Ovis aries: one gene and its partner. The main gene of each other region encodes a partner of the protein of the gene in region 2 in a complex. Links are inferred from orthologs where the notes say so. Each region holds a gene or a part of one and is shown on either strand. Other genes may lie near its edges. The genes, in order: EMD and BANF1.

Evidence for each region.
Region 1: the proteins of BANF1 (region 2) and EMD are in contact, whole or in part, in a crystal structure (PDB 7NDY), measured with the Homo sapiens proteins. The link is inferred for Ovis aries from reciprocal best matches to the Homo sapiens genes BANF1 and EMD. Residues at the interface, in NP_001137457.1 of Homo sapiens: Arg37, Phe39, Gln48, Val51, Leu52, Lys53, Asp55, Leu58, Glu61, Trp62, Asp65; in NP_000108.1 of Homo sapiens: Pro22, His23, Gly24, Pro25, Val27, Ser29, Thr30, Arg32, Leu33, Tyr34, Lys36, Lys37, Glu40.

Annotation. Positions count from the first base shown.
Region 1 is NC_056080.1:80,067,252-80,076,684, forward strand, and holds EMD (emerin), read right to left. Parts: upstream 6,058-9,433; 5' UTR 5,934-6,057; coding exon 5,852-5,933; intron 5,754-5,851; coding exon 5,646-5,753; intron 5,479-5,645; coding exon 5,401-5,478; intron 5,212-5,400; coding exon 5,078-5,211; intron 4,607-5,077; coding exon 4,560-4,606; intron 4,478-4,559; coding exon 4,141-4,477; 3' UTR 3,738-4,140; downstream 1-3,737. UniProt on the Homo sapiens protein: Stabilizes and promotes the formation of a nuclear actin cortical network. Stimulates actin polymerization in vitro by binding and stabilizing the pointed end of growing filaments. Inhibits beta-catenin activity by preventing its accumulation in the nucleus.
Region 2 is NC_056074.1:40,527,808-40,536,864, reverse strand, and holds BANF1 (barrier-to-autointegration factor), read right to left. Parts: upstream 7,559-9,057; 5' UTR 7,481-7,558; intron 6,789-7,480; 5' UTR 6,773-6,788; coding exon 6,650-6,772; exon of another isoform or gene 6,179-6,649; coding exon 6,032-6,178; 3' UTR 5,654-6,031; downstream 1-5,653. Other genes in the region: CST6 (cystatin-M), read right to left, coding at 1-171. UniProt on the Homo sapiens protein: Non-specific DNA-binding protein that plays key roles in mitotic nuclear reassembly, chromatin organization, DNA damage response, gene expression and intrinsic immunity against foreign DNA.

The DNA of each region.
Region 1 (9,433 bases), on a different chromosome or scaffold from region 2:
TTGTCCACAGCTGGGACCTGGAGCTGGATCACACACACACACACACACACACACACACACACACAGGCACACATGCATGCACACACACACACACACACACACACACACACTCGAGTTCCTGGCGGCCAGCGTCCATCACTCTTCACGTTTACTGACCCTAACATATCAGCTGCTCCCCCCTTGGCTCACTGCCTCCGTCGGGGTTCCAGTGGGGTGCCCATCAGTGCCCTAGTCCTGCGCCCTCGAGTGGGGTGTGGCTGCCCATACTGGGGGCCGTGCAGGACTTCCAAGGGTCTCTAGACCTCCATCGCCATCATTGAAACACCGAGGCTCTCTCTCTGTGGGTGGGTGCCGTCCCATCCTGAGGGGCACTGTGCCCCTCGCTTCACCTAGGTCCGGCCCACCCTCCTGGGGGAGCGGGCACAAGGGAGAGTGAGGTGCAGGGGTGCCCCGGGGCGGGGCGGGCCGGCTGTGGTGTGGGAGTGATCAGCTCCCCCATCCCCCTGACTCAGAGCAGACAGGACCTGCAGGATGCAGGGGCCACTCCCCACAGGGTGACCAGACACCCCCTCCCCAGGCTTAGTAGGGAAGAAGGGCCCCGGCGGGCACCTGTGGCTGGACCCCTCCTCTGCTCCGGGGGGGCCAGGTCTCATGCCGCTTGTCCCCAGCAGATGGGCTCCTGGTGCCATCTGCGTGTCCTCCTCTCCAGAAGCCCTCCAGAGGTGGCGCCCTGTCTCGCTCCCTCCTTCCCCTGCCTGGTCGAGGCTCTGGCCTGGTCTGGCCCGTGGCCTCTCCTCAGGGCTGTCCTCAGGATCGTTCCCCCTACACATTCCAGCTTCTCCTCTTGCCGCCCTGCAGGCCTCATGACCATCTGGGTGCGATGTGTTATCCAGGGAGGGGACAGGACTCCTGGTTACACTCTCCTCTGGGGCCATTCTCCCTCCAGGGGCCCCCACCAGGCAGGCTTTGAAACCCGGGATGGCAGGGTAGACTGATGGCAGGGAGGACCGTCTGCTCTTGGCAGGCTGGTCCAGGCAGCAGGCAGGAGAATCTGGGTGAGTCCAGGTAGGGGATTGGTGCCTGATGGGCCGGCAGAGGTGAGAGGGGGCTTTCTGGGAGGACCTCCCTACCTGGCTCCCCCCAGTGGTAGGGGACTTTACTGAGCTCCTGCCTGCCCTGGGGAGGGGCTGGGGCTAGTTTCCAGGGCATGGGTATGCTGAGCCTAAGGCCAAAGGCCAGCCCCAGGGGCAGTAACAGTGACACCCTCCTTTTCTTTAGTTCCTTGGGGAGGTTCATCCTCGTGGACCCACGGGCTTGTACCCACAGGCTTGTACCCACTCTTGGATGGCTGCTTCTTCAGTGCTGGGACTAGCCCAGTAGAGTGGTCAAGGTCGGAGTGGTCCTAGATTGTGAAATGCTGTCTGCTACTTCCCCTAGACCTGGGGGCGGGGGGAGGGTGCGGCTGATGTCAAGGGTGGCATCAGGAGCTCCCCCTGCTTGCCATACCTCCCGGGCACTTCTCTCTGTGCTCCACCAGGGATGCTGCTCAGGCTGTCTGGCAGGGTCCCAAGCTACCAGCTCAGTTGCCTCATCCAGGGCCTCCTAGGCTCCTCCATGTCTGCCAACCACCACTACCATCCCCCGACTCCGCTCTGGTGGTACCTAAGATGGCAGGAGATGTCCTGCACGCTAGGAAGCTGCTGCCCCCTGCTGTGCTCCCAGTACCACTGCAGCCCATGGTCCAGGCAGGAGCCTGGAGGTTGGTCTCAGAGCCCTGGAAAGCCCTAGGTGGGGACTTGGAAGCCTGATGTTTCTTGGGGGCTCACGGAGCCCTCAAAAGCTTTTGGCTGGGGTGCCCAGAGCACTTGGAGGCATTCAGGCGCCCTTATGGGGGTCCAGGGCCTTGGAAGCAAGGCTAAGCCTGGCGGGAGTCTGGAGGGAGGTCCAGAGTCCTCAGGAGAGCTCTCTGGGAGGAGGGTATCTCAGTGCCCTGGAGCAGTGATTTTGAAGCAAGGCCCTCAGAAACCCTCCGTCTGGTGCATGGTGATCAATGGATGTCGTCACCCATGAGAAATAAAAGGGGGAGACTGTGTCACCTGGGAGGCAACTCTGTCTCCCTTCAGACACAGCAGTGGTTGCCAAGCACATCTAGCCTCCCCCTCGGCCCTGCAGATGGACGATCTGAAGCCCGGAGGGGACCATTCCGTGCAGAGGCCATGCCATCTCTCTCCCCTTCCTCCCTGCAATCCCTCCTCTCCACCAGGACCCCGTGGGTCTCCCGCTGCACAGCCACCCCCAGGAGGAGCACTTGAGATCACTTGCCGAAATGAGATGTTGCGCCATGCCCCTGTGGAGTTCTGATGCCCTGACGATGGGACTCCTTGTTCTCCCACCCTCCAGTTCACTAATTTGACCACCTGCCCCTGTGGTCACAGATGAGCAGGCCACACCTCTTGCCCATGCCCACCGCCCACCACGGAGCATCCGTGTCTCAGCTCTTGGTCTAGGATGGCATGAGACAGATGCTGGGGGCTCAGGGGTGTCCCGGCCACAGTGGACTGGGTGCCACAGGAGTCAGGTGGGAGTGCCTAGCAGCAAACGAGGGAGGCTGGGGCTCTGGGAGGGGTGAGAATATGAGAAGCCATTTCTTTTTGGTGTATTTGAAATGCACAAAGAAAGCCTGTTGGTTTTAGGAAAACGCCCACCCCATCCCACCCCATAAAAGTGCGGAGACTAGGATGCAGCAAAAAGAAGTGTCCAGAAGCTTTGGTAGAAAGGTTCCAGTCTGGCCCTGAGCAGAGCTTACCCAGCGGCCATAGACAGCGGAGAGCCCCAAGGCTCAGGAGCCCATGGTGCACGTGCAGGTGAGAGGGCAGGCCCTGCCAAGTCCTGCCACCTGTACGAAGGAGCCCGTCAGAGCTGAGATGCCAGGGTCCCACCCAATGGTGGCCCAGGGGGTGCCTTTGCTTCCCTTTTGTGTGCCTGTTTCTCCAGACTTTACTGCCCTCTACAGGCAGTGCGGAGCCCAGACGAACAGTGTGGCATTCTACCCCATGTTTCCTTAGCACTTGATGTTAAGTGAGTGAAAGTCGTTCAGTCGTGTCAGACTCTTAGCGACCCCATGGACTGTAGCCCGCCAGGCTCCTCTGTCCTTGGGATTCTCCAGGCAAGAATACTGGAGTAGGTTGCCATTTCTTTCTCCAACTCGATGTTAAAATCACATGTAAACTGTGAAAATTGTTAAATGCCCACAGCAGAAAACCTTGTGGTAATACCCAGGTGAGGAACTGGTTTACTAAAAGGAGATGAAACATTCCAGAGGACTGAGAGCCTTCCCCTGTCATTAGACAACCAGCCTTCCAGCAGCCCATCAAGCAGATGCCTCATTTCCTTCCCATCACTCTGCCCTTGGACACCACAGTTGGTGTCTGCTGGTCCCAGTTGAAACACCCAGAACTGACACGGTGCAAGCAGCCTCACCTGCGTTTCCCAGTGGGCTCTCTGTGTGACTATTTTTTATAAGCACTTACAAGAGCTTCTGGTAACATGTCAGGGAGCGGGCACCAAAAGCAAAACATAAATGAGTTTATGGGTTGCCTATGATCCCTATCTCAGGCTCAAAGGACGAAAGGATGAACTGACAAAGTTGGATGGCAATTCTGGAGACCCAAGGCCTGGAAGCCTTTAGCAGGGGGGCAGCCCAACCCCTCCCCATGTTAAAGAAAAGAACCCACACATTAAAAATAAATGGTCTTTTATTGTGTCCACGAAAACAAACTCAGGGTGGCCTTTGGTTAATCCCCCCATGAGGTGACGACAAATAGGAGGCATGCGATGACCAAAACCATGTTCTCCTCTCCAGGAGAAGGGTCTTGCCCTCCTAGGCCCGAAGGGTGACAGGCAAGCAGGGCCAGGAGGATCCAGAGGCAGGCCCACCCAGGTCCACCATGCCGCAGAGGGCCCAGGCCTGCTGCCTCCCTGGCAGGACAGGGCAGGGGTCAGCAAACATTGCCCATGTCCTGGTAACCCCAAGCTAGAACACACAGAAAAGCCCCAACCCCCCTCCCCCAACAAACACTGATAAGGCAGTCAGCCAGGGCTTCCAAGAGGAGCCGGCCTCCAAGGTACGAGGTCAGACCCTTAGGGCTCTGCCCAGAAAGGGTTGCCATCCTCGGCCTGCATGGAGTAGTAAACAAAGAGCAGGAAGGCAGCAAAGACCAGGAACAGCAGCACCTGGCCCCAGAGCGGGACCTGGCGATCCTGGCTCAGGCCGGCAGCCCCAGGGGCCTGCTTTTCAGGCCGGATGGCTCTGCGGGTGAGCCACGAAGGGGCCGAAGATGAAGATGAGGACACACTCGAGGTGGAGGAGGATGTGGGATAATAGGACAGGCCCAGGGAGCTTCTGGAGATGTTGGAAATAGGGCGGTAGTGTGCAATGTTCTGGTAGGCACTGTCCCGGCCATACAGGAGGCGTTCCCTGAGGCAAAGAGTGCAGTAGGTAGACCAGGAGGGCTTGAGTCCTGAATCAGCCCCAGCCCCTGGCTCGCCTTAATACTCACCGATCCTTGCCTTCCTCTTCCAAAGAGAAAAGATTGTCATCACGGACCTACAGAAGTGAATCAGAATGAGAATACCTATTGACAGGGTCGGTGTAGGTATGACAGGTCATACCCTCAGTCCAAACTGCCCTTCCCAGCCTGTTCTGAACACTGATTAAAGGCCTGGGCCCTGCCACCCTCCAGACCCCCTTCTTGGTCCTCAGCCTTATGTCTGCAGGGCCGTGCCACTTGTCCCGGCTGCCTGCATCCTACTTTCTGCCCCAGAATTCTCAAAAAGAGCTCAAACCTAGATCCCAGACCAGAGCCAGGGCACGTCCTGGGCACACTAGTCAAAACAGTTCTGACAGCCCCTTCCCCCACCCCAAAGGTCTTGACCAGGCAGGTGTCTGCAGGCCCCACCTCTCCCTGGAGGTTTCTGAGCCACCATTTGTGCCCAGTGGTTCCCTTGACTCATCCAAACCCCATGAGGACCCCCTCAGGTTGTACCCAAGTACAGGGTGCCCGACAACTCAGCTCACCTGGCGGTGAAAGGGGTCAGCATCTGAGAGTGAAGCTGAGGGCTGGCGGAAGCCCTTGGATGTGCCCATAGACTCAGGCTCCCCGTAAGTCCTGGTGGTCAAGTAACTCTCCTCATAGTAGTCATCATTATAGCCTTAGGAAGGGGGGGGCAGCGGTAGCAGAAGGGGCAACGGTGTCCCCACCTGGCCCGATGGCCCTAATCTGAATCCCATTGGGGGGGGGGGTGCTGCAGGGCTACTGCAGGACGCATGGGGTTGAGGTCTCAGGTTCTGGCTGACACTGGAAGGAAGGTGTCAGAGTGCCCACCCCACCCCTGCCTTACCCTTGCTCTGGTAAAGTAAGGCGTCCTCTTTCTTGGGCAGATCATACATATCCGAGTCCACGGACGCCGAATCTAAGTCTGAATGGGGGAGGGGCTAGGACCATTGGCCCACAGGGGTCCCCTCCCGTTTCCCCCGCGCCCCTTCCAGCCAGTGCCCTGGCCACACCCCCGCGACCCCTTCCTCAGCGTCCCCCAAACCGTGTCCCCAAGGGCGGCCAGGCGGGGCCCTGGGACGGGAGCCTCACCCGAGAACCGATAGGAGAAAGAGGATGCGGACGAGCTCGGGGGCGAGAGCCTCCGCCTCTGGGTCTCATACTCGAAGATTTTCTTTTCGTAGAGCTTGCGAGTGGAACCTGATCAGACGCGGGGCACAGGGCGGTCAGGGAGCGGGCCGAGAGGGGGCCGCGGGGCTAAGCGCGGGGAGCGGGCCCGCCCTCCGTCCACCGCGTACCGACGACGGGCCCGTGTGGGATGTTGTACTGGCGCAGCACGGCGGCCAGCTCGGAGTCCGAGAGGACTGCGTAGTCGTCCATGGCGGGCAGCGGGCGGCGGAGGCCTGGGGGAGGCCTGGGCCTTGCAACACCGGCCGAGAGACGATGGCCTCGGAGCGCGGCAGGGGAAACAGGAGTGCCTCGGGAGCGGCTACGCGCGCGTCACGCCCGCGTCACAGTCTCGGTCTCCGCGGGCAGCGCGCGCTGTGCGGAGCGGGGCCGGGCCTCGCAGAGAGCTGCCAGCGCAGATTGGTGGAGCCTCGCGAATGGGCGGGGAGGGGCGGGGCTCCCGAGCCCAGAGACGTCACACGCTGGCGCATTTAGGGCTGGACCCCAGCGAGGGGGCGGGGCCTGGGCGCGACGGGAACTAGCTTAGACCCGCCCCGGCTTGGGAGCGGGGCGGGGCCCGCGAGCCGCGACGTCACCCGCTCGGCTATTTGGGTCAGAAGGGTGGAGGGGCGGGGCCTGTGGCCATGCAACCGGCAGAAACTGGGCAGGATGCGGGAGCTGGGCGGGGCTGCGCGCTGGGCGGGGCTCGCCCTCCCTGAGTCACGTGGAGTCCGCTCGGTCTCAACTGCCCCTCTGCTCCAGCAATTGCGGGTCCCTGGCCGCGCCCCAGGCGGGCGCGTCGCCGGCGGCTGCGAGAAGGGGCCTGATCCGAAGGGGCAAGCCCTTGGAGAGCACGGGTCCAGACTAGGCGCTGCTGCACGCGCAGTGCGCGCGCGCGCCACACCAAGGAAGCCTGTAGCCACCTGACCATAAACCGCCCCCCAGAGCCCCAGACCCCCTGCCCCAGCACGCCTTCCCGCTCTGCAGGATCCTGGCCTGCGCCCGCCGGTTCCCACCGCCTCCCTCCCTCCCCTTGCACCCCAGAGGAAATGGGGCACTGGGCCAGGAGGCCACCGGCCCTCCAGGAGCCAGCAGCCTTGGAAGGGGCCCGGGCATGCCAATGGGCACTGGCATGGGGCGCCCTGTGATGCCGAGATGGCGGGTGTCTGCCTCACCCACCGGCAGTGCACCAGAGGCGCGAGGGGCTTCCCCACCGTGGCTGGGATGGCCCCTGAGCCCAGCGTGACCCAGGAGGCTGCCAGAGGGACCTGCCCCAGGCTTCCGATAATGCACTCTGAGCACCTGGGTCTCAGTGGGCTTCAGGGTCGTGGGAGTGCAGAGGGAGCCTCCCAGACAGGGGGGCCAGGGGACTGAGGGGGGCAAACCATGGAAGGCAGCCAGGGCCTGTCACAGGGAGTTGGTGAGAGCCTTGGTCAGGAAGAGCTGTCCCATGAAAATTAGGAAGAAGATGACAGTGACATTCTAACAAAGCCAGCCAATGGAATGAGGGGAAACTTAAGTGCCTCTCCCGGAACTGAGATGAAGGCTGGCAGACTGGCCCAGTTGGTGAGGGTCACAGCCTCGGTCTCAGCAAAAGTTCCTTCATGGGGTGGAGAGAAGATAGGGCCCTGGTTTAACCACATACGAAGCCCCTCCTCAAGGTTGCTGTTGGCCAGGTTTTAGAAATGAGGCTTTCTCCATCTCCCAAAATATGAGGGCCCCACGCATGCATGGTCGGATGAGGGGCAGCGCCCCCAGGCAGGGCAAGGGTCTTGCTGCTTATCTCTGAGCAGGGAGGGAGATGGCATTTGGGCTCTGGGCTCCTCAGAGCCGGCTTCACGGAATTTGGAGTTTGGGCCAGATCAGATTCCCCAGCACCTCTCTAAGCCTTCTTTTGCAGTGCTGGCCCCTGTCCCGGAGGCCAGCCTCCCCTTGCCAACCCCCGCCCCATACAGACCCAAGCCGTTTCCTTATGAGGTCAAGGAATTCTAAGTTTGCCTTCTCCTCTGGGAGCACCCCCTCCCCGGCACCTGCCTTGGCCCTTTGCCTTTTATTTCCCTCTCCCCCAGTTGCCCCACTATGAGGTCCCACCACAGATGGCACCACATGGCTGACCTGTGATGGTCTCCTGCACATGAGCCCACCTGGAGCCCCAAGCCAGCCCCACTGCAGGCAGACCTGTCTCAAACCACTAGAAACCAGGCAAGCCCTTGACCATCAGAGCTGAGAGGCCCTTGGCACTGCCACAATGACATCGAGGAGGAATTAAGGGCCCAGAGAAGGAGGGGACTTATACAGGGGCACCCAGGGCAACAATTCATTCATGGATGTTCCCCTAGCCAGTACCTAGCCCTCGGGGTCATAACCTGGACAGCGTGGCCCACTGGGGATTCCGAGTCAGCAGAGGAGCTGTTAGTGGAAATCTGGGGCCTTGAGGGGAGTCTTCCTGGGAAGAGTGGGCAGAGTTAAAAGCAAGCATTTCTTTGGAACTTTGGCTGAGGCGAAAAGGGCTTGGAAGCCACTGATTCCAAGTCAGTAACAAGACAGTTTCACCTTTAAGGACTAGGATTCTAAGCAATAGATTATGTAACTTGTGATCCTAGCAACATCAAAAAATGTAAGGAAAAGTAATATCAACATGAATACATTTTTCAACAGGTCCAAGGAGACATTCACTGAGTGATTAATGTTTTAAGATCAGAACCTGAATCCTTTGGTACAATACAAAGCTTACTTTTTCCCTTTAAGGATGTTAAAGATCCTCTGGGTTTGGCCTAGCAGTCGAATGCTTTAAAACATGGCTCAGATGGTAACAAAAGTTGTAAGATGGTGACTAGTGTGAAAATGACCGTTTGGAAGGTTGTCACAATCAATATATAGCAGGGAATGGTTAGCTGACCAAAAACCTCTCAGGTGACACCTTGTGTTCCAGTCCTAGGACACGTCAGTCTGCCTTGGGACAGTCGGCATGGCAGCAGGAATGGAGCTGCTTCTAGTGCTTTTGTGGAACCTTCAACACAAGGTGATGGTTTAGTCGCTAAGTCCTGTCCGACTCTTGAACCCCATGGACTGTAGCCCACCAGGCTCCTCTGTCCATGGGATTTTCCAGGCAAGAGTACTGGAGTGGATTGTCATTTCCTTCTCCATCAACACAAGGAGCAAAAGCCTTTGTTAAAATCTTTTACCAGGGAAGAGCTGGTGCTATATAAACCTTCATTCCCCCCAGACCTGGAAAAGTAGAGACCCTGAGTTGCATGTGTCTCAGGGGTGTGGAGGGAGGGGAGAGAGAGAGTAAAGAGAGGATTAAAACGGAGGTGGGGGGTCCTGAGATCCAGCCATGAAGCCATCACTTCCTTTCTGCTACCCCAGCTATTGTACACTGATTCCCATTGCAATGCCTCTGGCAGGTGGGTGTCCCTCCTTGAAGGATAGCCTTGGCCATGAGCTACCTTGTGGACCTAAACTGAGACTGCTCATCTATCAAGGGAGGATAACCCACTGCCGTGAGGGGCGGAGGGGTGGATCCCACTAGATGGGGCGGGGAGAAACAGAGACCGAGGCCACTGCTAGGCGATCTCACCTGGGGTCAAGGTGGAGAGGTCATTGCCAACAAAGGCAGCAGTGGCTGCGGAGAGGCCTGGAGGGCAATCAGTGCCTTCCTGTTAGTGTGCAGCTGTAGATATCAAACTACGTTAGCAGGTGACAGCAGACTT
Region 2 (9,057 bases):
GGCCGCCTGCGCCGCCTTCTGCACCTGCGGGTCGCTGGGCGACAGCTCCTGCAGTTCTCCGACCTTGCGGTCCCCCGGCCGGGCCCGGGCGTCGCGGGGCAGCACCAGGAGGCAGAGTGCGAGCAAGGCCAGGGCCATCGGCAGCAGGAGGCTAGGACGCGCCATGGCCATCGGTGTCGGTATCTGACCGCGGCCGGCGCCGCTTTTATGGGCTCCTCGGCCCCGCCTGGCCCCGCCCGCCGCTCGCCGCGCGCCCCCGCAGGCGGGGAGGGATCCACCCAGCCTGGTTGGTCCACACGTGAGGCCGCCTGCGGGGTGCCGAGGAGGACAGCGGGCAGGCCCGAGCACACCTGGGCATCACCACCACGCTGCTTGCCCTCCAGGCACACCTGGTTGGGGAGGGCAAGGACTGCGACAGCTCCTAGCCACAAGTGCCACCACAGGGGCAGTTCACAGAGACCCATCCCATATGAGAAACCCACAACAGCTACTAGCAAGCTCTTAACTATCTCCAATGGTAGTCTTGGAGAAGTTACTTAACCCTCATTGCCTCAGTTTCCTCCTCTGTGAAATGGGTTGCTTCGAGGGTTCAATAAGTGCTTAGGGGAGGCCAGGTGCTATATAAACAGCAGGTAAGCAGGAGTCCTTACTGCCCTGAGCCGGGCACTGTTTAACCCTCATGACCAGCATGAGGTAGGGATCAGTGAGCAAGGGTTCCATTTTACAGAGGAGTAAACAGGACACAGAGTAAACAACTGATTTTGCCCAAGAACACAGGCTGGTAACTAGTAAATGGTGACACTGGCTTTTGAGCCCAGGCAGGCGCTGGTCGTATAGGATCCGCCTGCCAACGCAGGAGACGTAAGAGATGAAAGTTCAATCCCTGGGTCGGGAAGATCCCCTGGAATATGAAATGGCAACCCGCTCCAGTATTCTTGCCAGGAAAATCCCATGGACAGAGGAGGCTGGCGGGCTACAGTCCGTGGGGTCACATAGAGCTGGACACGACTGAGCGCACGCGCGCGCGCGCACACACACACACACACACACACACACACACGAGACACAGTCTAACTTAAATCTGTGTTCTCAGTCCAGAGGGAGCCCAAAAGATAGCTGGCCAGGAGTGTGGGTGGTCCCAGCTCTGCCATTTACTGCCTGGGGGCCTTCCAGCAAGCCCTTTGACCTCTGGGAGCCTCAGTCCTCACCTGAAGAAAGGTGACAACTCTTGTCTTCTAAGGTCTTGCTAATTATAAGGGCCTGAAACTGGGTCACTCATAGGTAAACTGGGCATATGTTGGAAGTACCAGCAAAACAAGGCTGTGATTTTTAACTTTTTGGCCACACCCTGCATGTGGGATCTTATTTACCAGACCAGGGATAGAATGCACATCTCCCTTTGGAAGGGCGTCTTAACCACTGGACCGAGATGGCGGAGGAATAGGACAGGGAGACCACTTTCTCCCCCACAAATTCATCGAAAGAACACTTGAGCATCGAGCAAATTCCACAGATGCTAGCAGAGGACATTAGGCACCCAGAAAAACCACTAGACCAGTAGGAAAGTCCCAGGGCTATGATTTCTGGGGGGAATAATCTGACACAATATAAAAAGCAGCACTGAAGTAGTCAACACAGGAAAAGTTTGACATGTTTTAGAATTTTCTACAATTAATGTTTTAAGAATTTAGGGTGCGTGCTTAGTGGCTTCAGACTTTTGAGATCCTATGGACTGTAGCCCACCAGGCTCCTCTGTCCATGGGATTCTCCAGCCAAGAATTCTGGAATGGGTTGCTATGCCCCTCTCCAGAGGATCTTCCCAAGCCAGGGATCAAACCAGCATCTCCTGCGTCTCCTTTATTGTAGGCAGATTCTTTACCGCTGAGCTACTGGGGAAGCCAAGTGCAAGGCAGTTTGTACTTTTAATCACTTGTTGTGGTGGGGAGGGTGTTTTTTGCTCTGGGGACACCAATCTTTAGTGCTTCAGGGCTGCTGAGGATCTTACCTGGGGCTTGGGAGGGGTGGTGGTTTTCAGTAAGCAACAAAGTGTTGGGGCTTAATAAGTGGCAGCTATTATTGTGATGAATATTATGAGTAAGCATCCAAGATTCCCTGATCCCAACCCCAATTCCCAGACCCTCAGAATCCCGAGGTCAGGAAAGGCAGGGATTTCTCCCAGGGAGACCAGGACCAGCATGTAGTCACTGCCCAGTCCAGATGCTGCCCCACACCCTCAGCACAGCTGTGAAAAACAATCTTGGGATGCCAAGGAATAGTCACAAGTTTGTTGTGGGCTCAGGTGTCTGCCTTAAAGGGACAGACCACTTATGGAGTCCAAGCTCCCTCTGCTCGCCACATGACAGGCCAGTGAATCCCAGAGACAAGGTGCTGAGGCAAGGGATACAACTGTATTTGGAGAGCTGGCTGACGGAGAAGATGGCAGACTAATGTCTCAAAATGACCATGCTGTTGGGGTCTGGATGCCAGGCTCGTTTATAGAACCTGAGGGAGAAGCAATGAGGAACTAAAAAGTCAAAAGGCCCAGCAGAGAGAGGAGGTAAAGTAAAAAGGGCTTTCAGTCTTGCAAAACATCTCCAGGAGGGCCAGCATTCGGAAGGGACGTGTTAATCCCCTTTTTGTAGTCATTCACAGAGGGACAGAGTCAGATTCTCTATGAGCTGAACAAAGGCACTTTAGTTTCACAGTCAGAGGGCCAGGGTCCTTTGAGGCAGACCATTATGTCCTGGCTTCCCAGGTGGCTCTGACAGTAAAGAATTCACCTACAATGCAGAAGCCTGGCGTTCAATTCCTGGATCAGGAAGATCCCCCAGAGAAGGGAATGGCTATCCATTCCAGTATTCTTGCCTGGAGAATTCCCTGGGCAGAAGAGCCTGGTGGGCTAAAGTTCAGGGGGTCGCAAAGAGTCAGACATGACTCAGTGACTAACACAACACATAAGAACAGCAGGAAGAGTCTAAAAAACAGTTCCAATGTGGAGTGAAAACTGGTTCTTCTCTGCAACAGACCCATTTGTGCAAGAGCTGGGGAGAGCTTGGCTTGATGAGGAGGCCAAGGCCAGGCAGGAGCCAGGCCAAGAGAGCCTGGCCATGGGGGAGTAAGAGGCCCAGGCTGCAGCACACGCTGGGAGAGGTGGGGAGGCAGCCCAAGCGGCCAGGCACCTCCTTGGGTTCCTCTAGGCCTGCGCTCCTGCCACTGGGAACTCAGCTGCAGCTGCACTTAAATCTGCACCAGCTCCCCGGGAAGCTAGCCAAGGGCCAGTGTCCCCAGCTCACTTGTCCCTACCCTGCCATTCCTTTGTGCTGACACCAACAAATCTTTTGCACACCAACCTAACAATTTCCAAAGACTTTTCACCAGCTGGTCTATTCTCACAAACACCCGAGTTAGTAAGTACCATCATTTTGCAGGTGAATACAGTTGTTCAGAGGTCAGGACAGCCGAAGACCCTGGACCCAAGCAGAGTAACATTAGAAACATAGTACGGCCTGAAACTCCAGGGACAGTCCCCATGACTACCTTTCTGGGCTTCAGACTGGCACCCTCCAAGGAAGCAGCCTGTAACACGAGCTGGGCCCAGCTCTGGCCACCTGGTGATCTTCCAGGGGCCTCTCACACTTCCAAGACCCAGGCTTACACTGAACCTTCATCCCTACTAATAACCATCATAATCTCTGGCTAATTACCTAACTGCTCTATCCTTGGGTCTTTATTTTTGTTCTCCCTTTTATCTTCTACTGTTCTGAGATGTATCTAACAGACAGAAAAGTACAGAGTGTCTTGGATCACCACCATACAGGTCAAGAAGTGGAAACTGCCACTCGCAGCCCCCTATGCTCCCATGCATCACACCTGTCTCTTTCCCCCAAAGGCAATCACTCCCCACTTCTCTTTACCAATGACTTTTGCAATAATCTTCCCTGGGGCTCAGACAGTAAAGAGTCTGCCTGCAGTGCGGGAGCCAGGTTCGATCCCTAGGTCGGGAAGATCCCCTGGAAAATGAAATGGCAACCCACTCCAGTATCCTTGCCTGTAAAGTCCCATGGAGGAGCAGTCTGGCAGGCTACAGTCCATTGAGGTCACAAAGAATTGGACACAACTCAGTGATTTCATTTTCTCTGGCAAAAAGCATTTTTTCCCCTTCTAGTTTTACTGCCTCTGCAAAGAGCCCCCATGCGGATCCAGCTGGGAGCCCCTGTGAAGGAACAAAGCCGCTGTGAACATCCGCTCAGGCGCTGACGCAGGTGTGCTTTGCGTCCTGTCCCGTCCCTGGCGAGGAACTGCTGGCTCACAGGGTGGGTCTTCAGTTTTACTGGCAAACACCCAACTGCTTTCCCCAATTGTTCACACCAATTTACACTCCCACTAGTTGGATATCTGTTCCTGTTGCTCCATTTCTTCATCAGAACTTGGTATTGTCTGACTTAAATTTTTTTGCCAATCCTGTGAGTGTATAATGGCATCTTATTTGCGTTTCTGCCGGACTTAATCTGACCGAACACCTTCTGACATGCTTATTCACCACTCAGGTATTCCTCTGTGGCTGCCCTCCAGGTCTTTCACCCATTTTTCTATTGTATTGTCTGCTCTCTCTCGACTGCAGCTCTGGAGTCCTGTGTCATCTATGTGGGTCGCAAATATCCTTCCTCACCCTGGGTTAGGCTCCTCACTCACTCTGATTATCCTGAACAAAATTTCTATGATGGAGTTGAATCTATCAGCTTTTTAATCTTTCCCTATTCTGAAATCATGAAAATCTACTCACGCTATCGAAGTGTTTCTATTTATGATGTCATTTCTCCCCTCACCAGACTTCAAGCCCTGAGGACAAGGAAAATTCTATAAATAAGTAGCTCCTGAACACGACCAGCACTGCATCTGATCCTTACAACAATTTCATTTTCCAGGTGGGGAAATTGAGTCTGAGAGAGACCAAGAGCCGTGAGCAAACACCACCCATGGCTCTCAGGTCCATGGGTTTCCATGTGATGTTTTGAGGACCAGTCTGGCTACTTCCCAGTAGTAAGTCCATGGAGTCAGCCTGACCCTCTAGTTTCATCTGTGGAAAACAAAACTAACACTTATTATGAATGAAAAAAAAATGTTTACACAAACCTTAGCTCTGAACCTGGTTCATAGTAAGTCCGATAAACAGATGATGAAGATATACCAAATACAAGTGTAACTCACTCAAGCCTGCCCACCCAGTTGGGTTGCCCACACACTTTCTGCCTCCCTGAGAACAGGGCGGACTGCATGAGCCCCGCCCACTCATCCCAGAGACCAGGAGAACACATGACCAATGGCAGGTAGACCTCAGTCCACATCCCATCCACCCTTTTCCTGCTCTGACTCCCTCGGACTTTCCACCAGGTGCTGACTAACCCAGCTGTTGACCACACGGATGTCTGGATCCCAGGAAGGAACCAACCCACTCACTCTCCCACGTTGGTGAGGGATTGAGACACTTCAAGGCACCTGCCCAAGGCCCGTATTGCCAGGATGGCCGCCCTTGGGAGTGTGAGGGAAGCTGCCAGTTTCGATCTGCACTGATAAGCAGTGTGGCAAACCTGGTCAGTCCCTGGGGAACAGGCAACTCCCAGCCTGCCTGCTTCCCACATACAAAGCCCAGTCATGAAGGCCACTGGCTTTATTGATTTATAAAACTTTACAAGGACAGTGACTGTTCTGCCAAAAAGACTACCAAATGGCATAAAAGAGACCACAGGTGGGGGTGGGGGTGAGGGACAGGGCCAGGAATCCACTCAGAAAAGCTGGTAATTATTGTCACGAAACTGGCAGGGAAAGGAAAAGGAAAATGCATGCAAGGGTGAGAATTCCAAAAAAGTTGAAACGGTGAGGGGAGAGAACTCCCCAAAGGCCCTGGAGTACATGGGAGGTGTGCACAACAGCAATCTCTTCTTTTGTAGAGGACGGAGGAGGAGTCCTCACTAGGCTGCAAACTCTGGAGACTCAATGCTGGGGCTTGGGATCGGGGGCTCCCCAGAGAGCATCACAAGAAGGCATCACACCACTCTCGAAGGCAGCCAAAGCAGTCCCGGGACTGCTTGGCATTGGCGCCACACGTGTCCTTCAGCCATTCCCGGAAGAGGTCTTCATCTTTCTTTAGGACCAGAAACTGGCCGAGGACCACATAGGCCTGCAAAACGGGCAAAGCAAAAGATGGGCTGCCGAGTGCTGTGTAGGACTAAGAACAAGACGACCACTTCCTGGGACTTCCCTGCTGGTCCAGTGGTGAATAATCTGTCTTGCAATTCAGGGGACATGAGTTCAATCCCTGGCCCGGAATCTACAATCCTACTTGCTGTGGGGCAACTAAGCCCGTGGGTTCTGGAGCCTGTGAGTCACAATGAAAGATCCTGCAAGCTGCAACTAAGACCCCAGGGCAAACAGAAACAAATAAACATCACGGGGGAAAAAAGGGCCACTTTCCTGTGGCTCCCCACACATGAGCCCAAGAGGCAGGGTGGGTTCTGCCCGGCTGACTCTGCCGATCACACAGGAGCGTCCACTCCCCAACAGATACACACACCCTCCTCACTCCCCAGCTGCCGGGAAATGCTGTTGTCGCGCCTCGCCCCCCTCCCAACTACAGGCAGCCACTCCACACCTTATCAAAGCCCCTTTCCTCCAGTTTCTTGCCCAGGACTTCGCCAATCCCGGCCAGGCTTCCCACTGGCTTCTCCCCCATGGGCTCTGCCACGAAGTCTCGGTGCTTTTGGGAGGTTGTCATCTCGATCAAGCTTAATCTGGGAATCCCAAGAAGAGGGAAATTAGGGCTGAAAACCAGGGAACGCCCGAAAACCCACTGGCAATCTCACAGGAAGAGAATGCCAAAGCAGCTGTTATGGGGGCTTTCTCGATTCCCCCCACTTCACAGATGAGAAAACTGAGGTCCACGCACAGTCTTTTCCTCACTGTTTAAGAGCTTAGTCTCGCCCAGTCCCTGCGGGAGCTGGGTTTTGGTACCGCCCCCGAGGAGAAACTATCTTGCCCTAACAGGCGGCGCAAGCAGGACAAAGGTAAGATTTCCACAGTACCCAGGGCCCGCCCTGAAAGTGTCAACCCTCTGTGACCTTGGCTGGGCAAAAGCAGCACTGACTCGGGTCTGGAATGGCCACTTGGCCCGAAAAGCAAACGGCGGGCCCTGACCCCGCCGCCGCCGCACAGGCTGCTCATTGAGCGAAGGCGCAGCCCGAGCGCGCACACCCGCGCTGCCAGCAGCGTCAGCGCCACACCTGGACGCCCGCCGCGCCCTACGCCGTGGACCCCGCCCCCAACGCGCCGCGCCCCGCCCCTCCCAGCGCCTCGCCGAGCCCTCTCGGAGGGCGCATCGTCTGGCCCGTCTCAGCCCTTGCGGGCCCTCTCCTCCCTGCCTCCCCCTCCTCCCCGCGCCCGTTCTGGCCTCCAGCCCGAGCCCTGTTCCGCGGCTCGCGCTCACCCGCAGCTCCAGTTCCTGTAACGGCTTCTCCCGCCACCCGGCTGCTCCCGCCGCTACCTCAGCCCACTAGAACTTTCTTCCACTTCCGCTTCCGGGTCGCCTCAAGGGGGGGGCCTTTAAAAAAAAAAAACAAAACTACATTGGGCACTTCTAGCCGCTTAGGGTCATAGAGTTGCGACACCACCCAGACCTCGAGAGCGCCCTTAGTAGGAGTTCATTTCCGGTTGCTTCGGAGGAAGCCGGGCTGCCTTTTGTAGTCTTGCTTCTTGGGAAGCATTTCCGGCCTCAGGGAACAGAAACCTGTGAGAAGAAAACTTTATTTATCTGCTGCACGGCATGCGGAACTTAGCCACTTAACCTTGGCCGACCTGGTGGTGGGAAAAATTAGAGAGACGGACAAGGGGAAAGGCGTGACCAGGAGACTTCCGGGAGAGCGCCGGAAGTACGGTGTCCGACTCAGGCCGACAGGCGTTGTCCTCCTCCCTGTCGGACTTATTAGAGTCGGACGGGAACCGGATGAGCCCCAGACCTGAGTCCAAACCGACTCCAAACGTTGTGACCACCGGCGAGTCCTTTTTCTCTGCTTTCGTTGCCTCAGCTCTGAAGTGAGTCGTGGATGAGGCGATCTCAGCGTTCTGCCTGGAGAACCGGGTCGTTCTGGCAGCTCTCGTGGGATCCGAGGGCCAGAGAGTAAGTTTGGATCTTTCCCTCTGAGCATCTTTCCATCGAGATAGGAAAGGAGGAGGGCAGGGGACGGCAACTAGAGATGACACTTCGGAGTTTCCTTTGGAAACCATCATGACTTTGAACAAACTCGGGGAAATAGTTAAGGACCGGGAAGCCTGGCGTGCTGCAGTCCATGGGGTCGCAAGAGTCGGATACGACTTAGCGACTGAACAACAGTCTTCTGAGTACGCATCAGTCGTTGTCTTGCAGTACCAGGGTCAGAAACAGCAGATGCCAAAGATCAAATCGGTCTCAATTAAGTTCAGTCGCTCAGTCGTGTCTGACTCTTTGTGACCCCATGGACTGCAGAACGCCAGGCTTCCCTGTCCATCACCAACTCCCGGAGCTTGCTCAACCTCATGTCCATTGAGTCGGTGATGCCATCCAACCATCTCATCCTTTGTCGTCCCCCTCTCCTCCTGACTTCGGTCTTTCCCAGCATCAGGGTCTTTTCCAGTGAGTCAGTTCTTCGCATCAGATGGCCAAAGTATTGGAGTTTCAGCTTCAGCATCAGCCCTTCTAATGAATATTCAGAACTGATTTCCTTTAGGATGGACTGGTTGGATCTCCTTGCTGCCCAAAAGACTCTCAAGAGTCTTCTCCAACACCACAGTTCAAAAGCATCAATTTAGTCTACCTTGCCCTTAAATTAGCTCATTCCTGACCTGGCTTGTGGTAGCTGGTCTGTGTCTGTAGGGTACTGAGAGACTGAACATCTGTGTGGTTGTGTCACACCTGAGATGTACAAGCAGGTTAAGGAAGAAGTGACTTATCTTGCCTCTTCTCCAAGTGGTTTCCAGAATGGCTTATTTTTCTAAAACATGTATTTAGTTTTTATGGTTATACCAGTA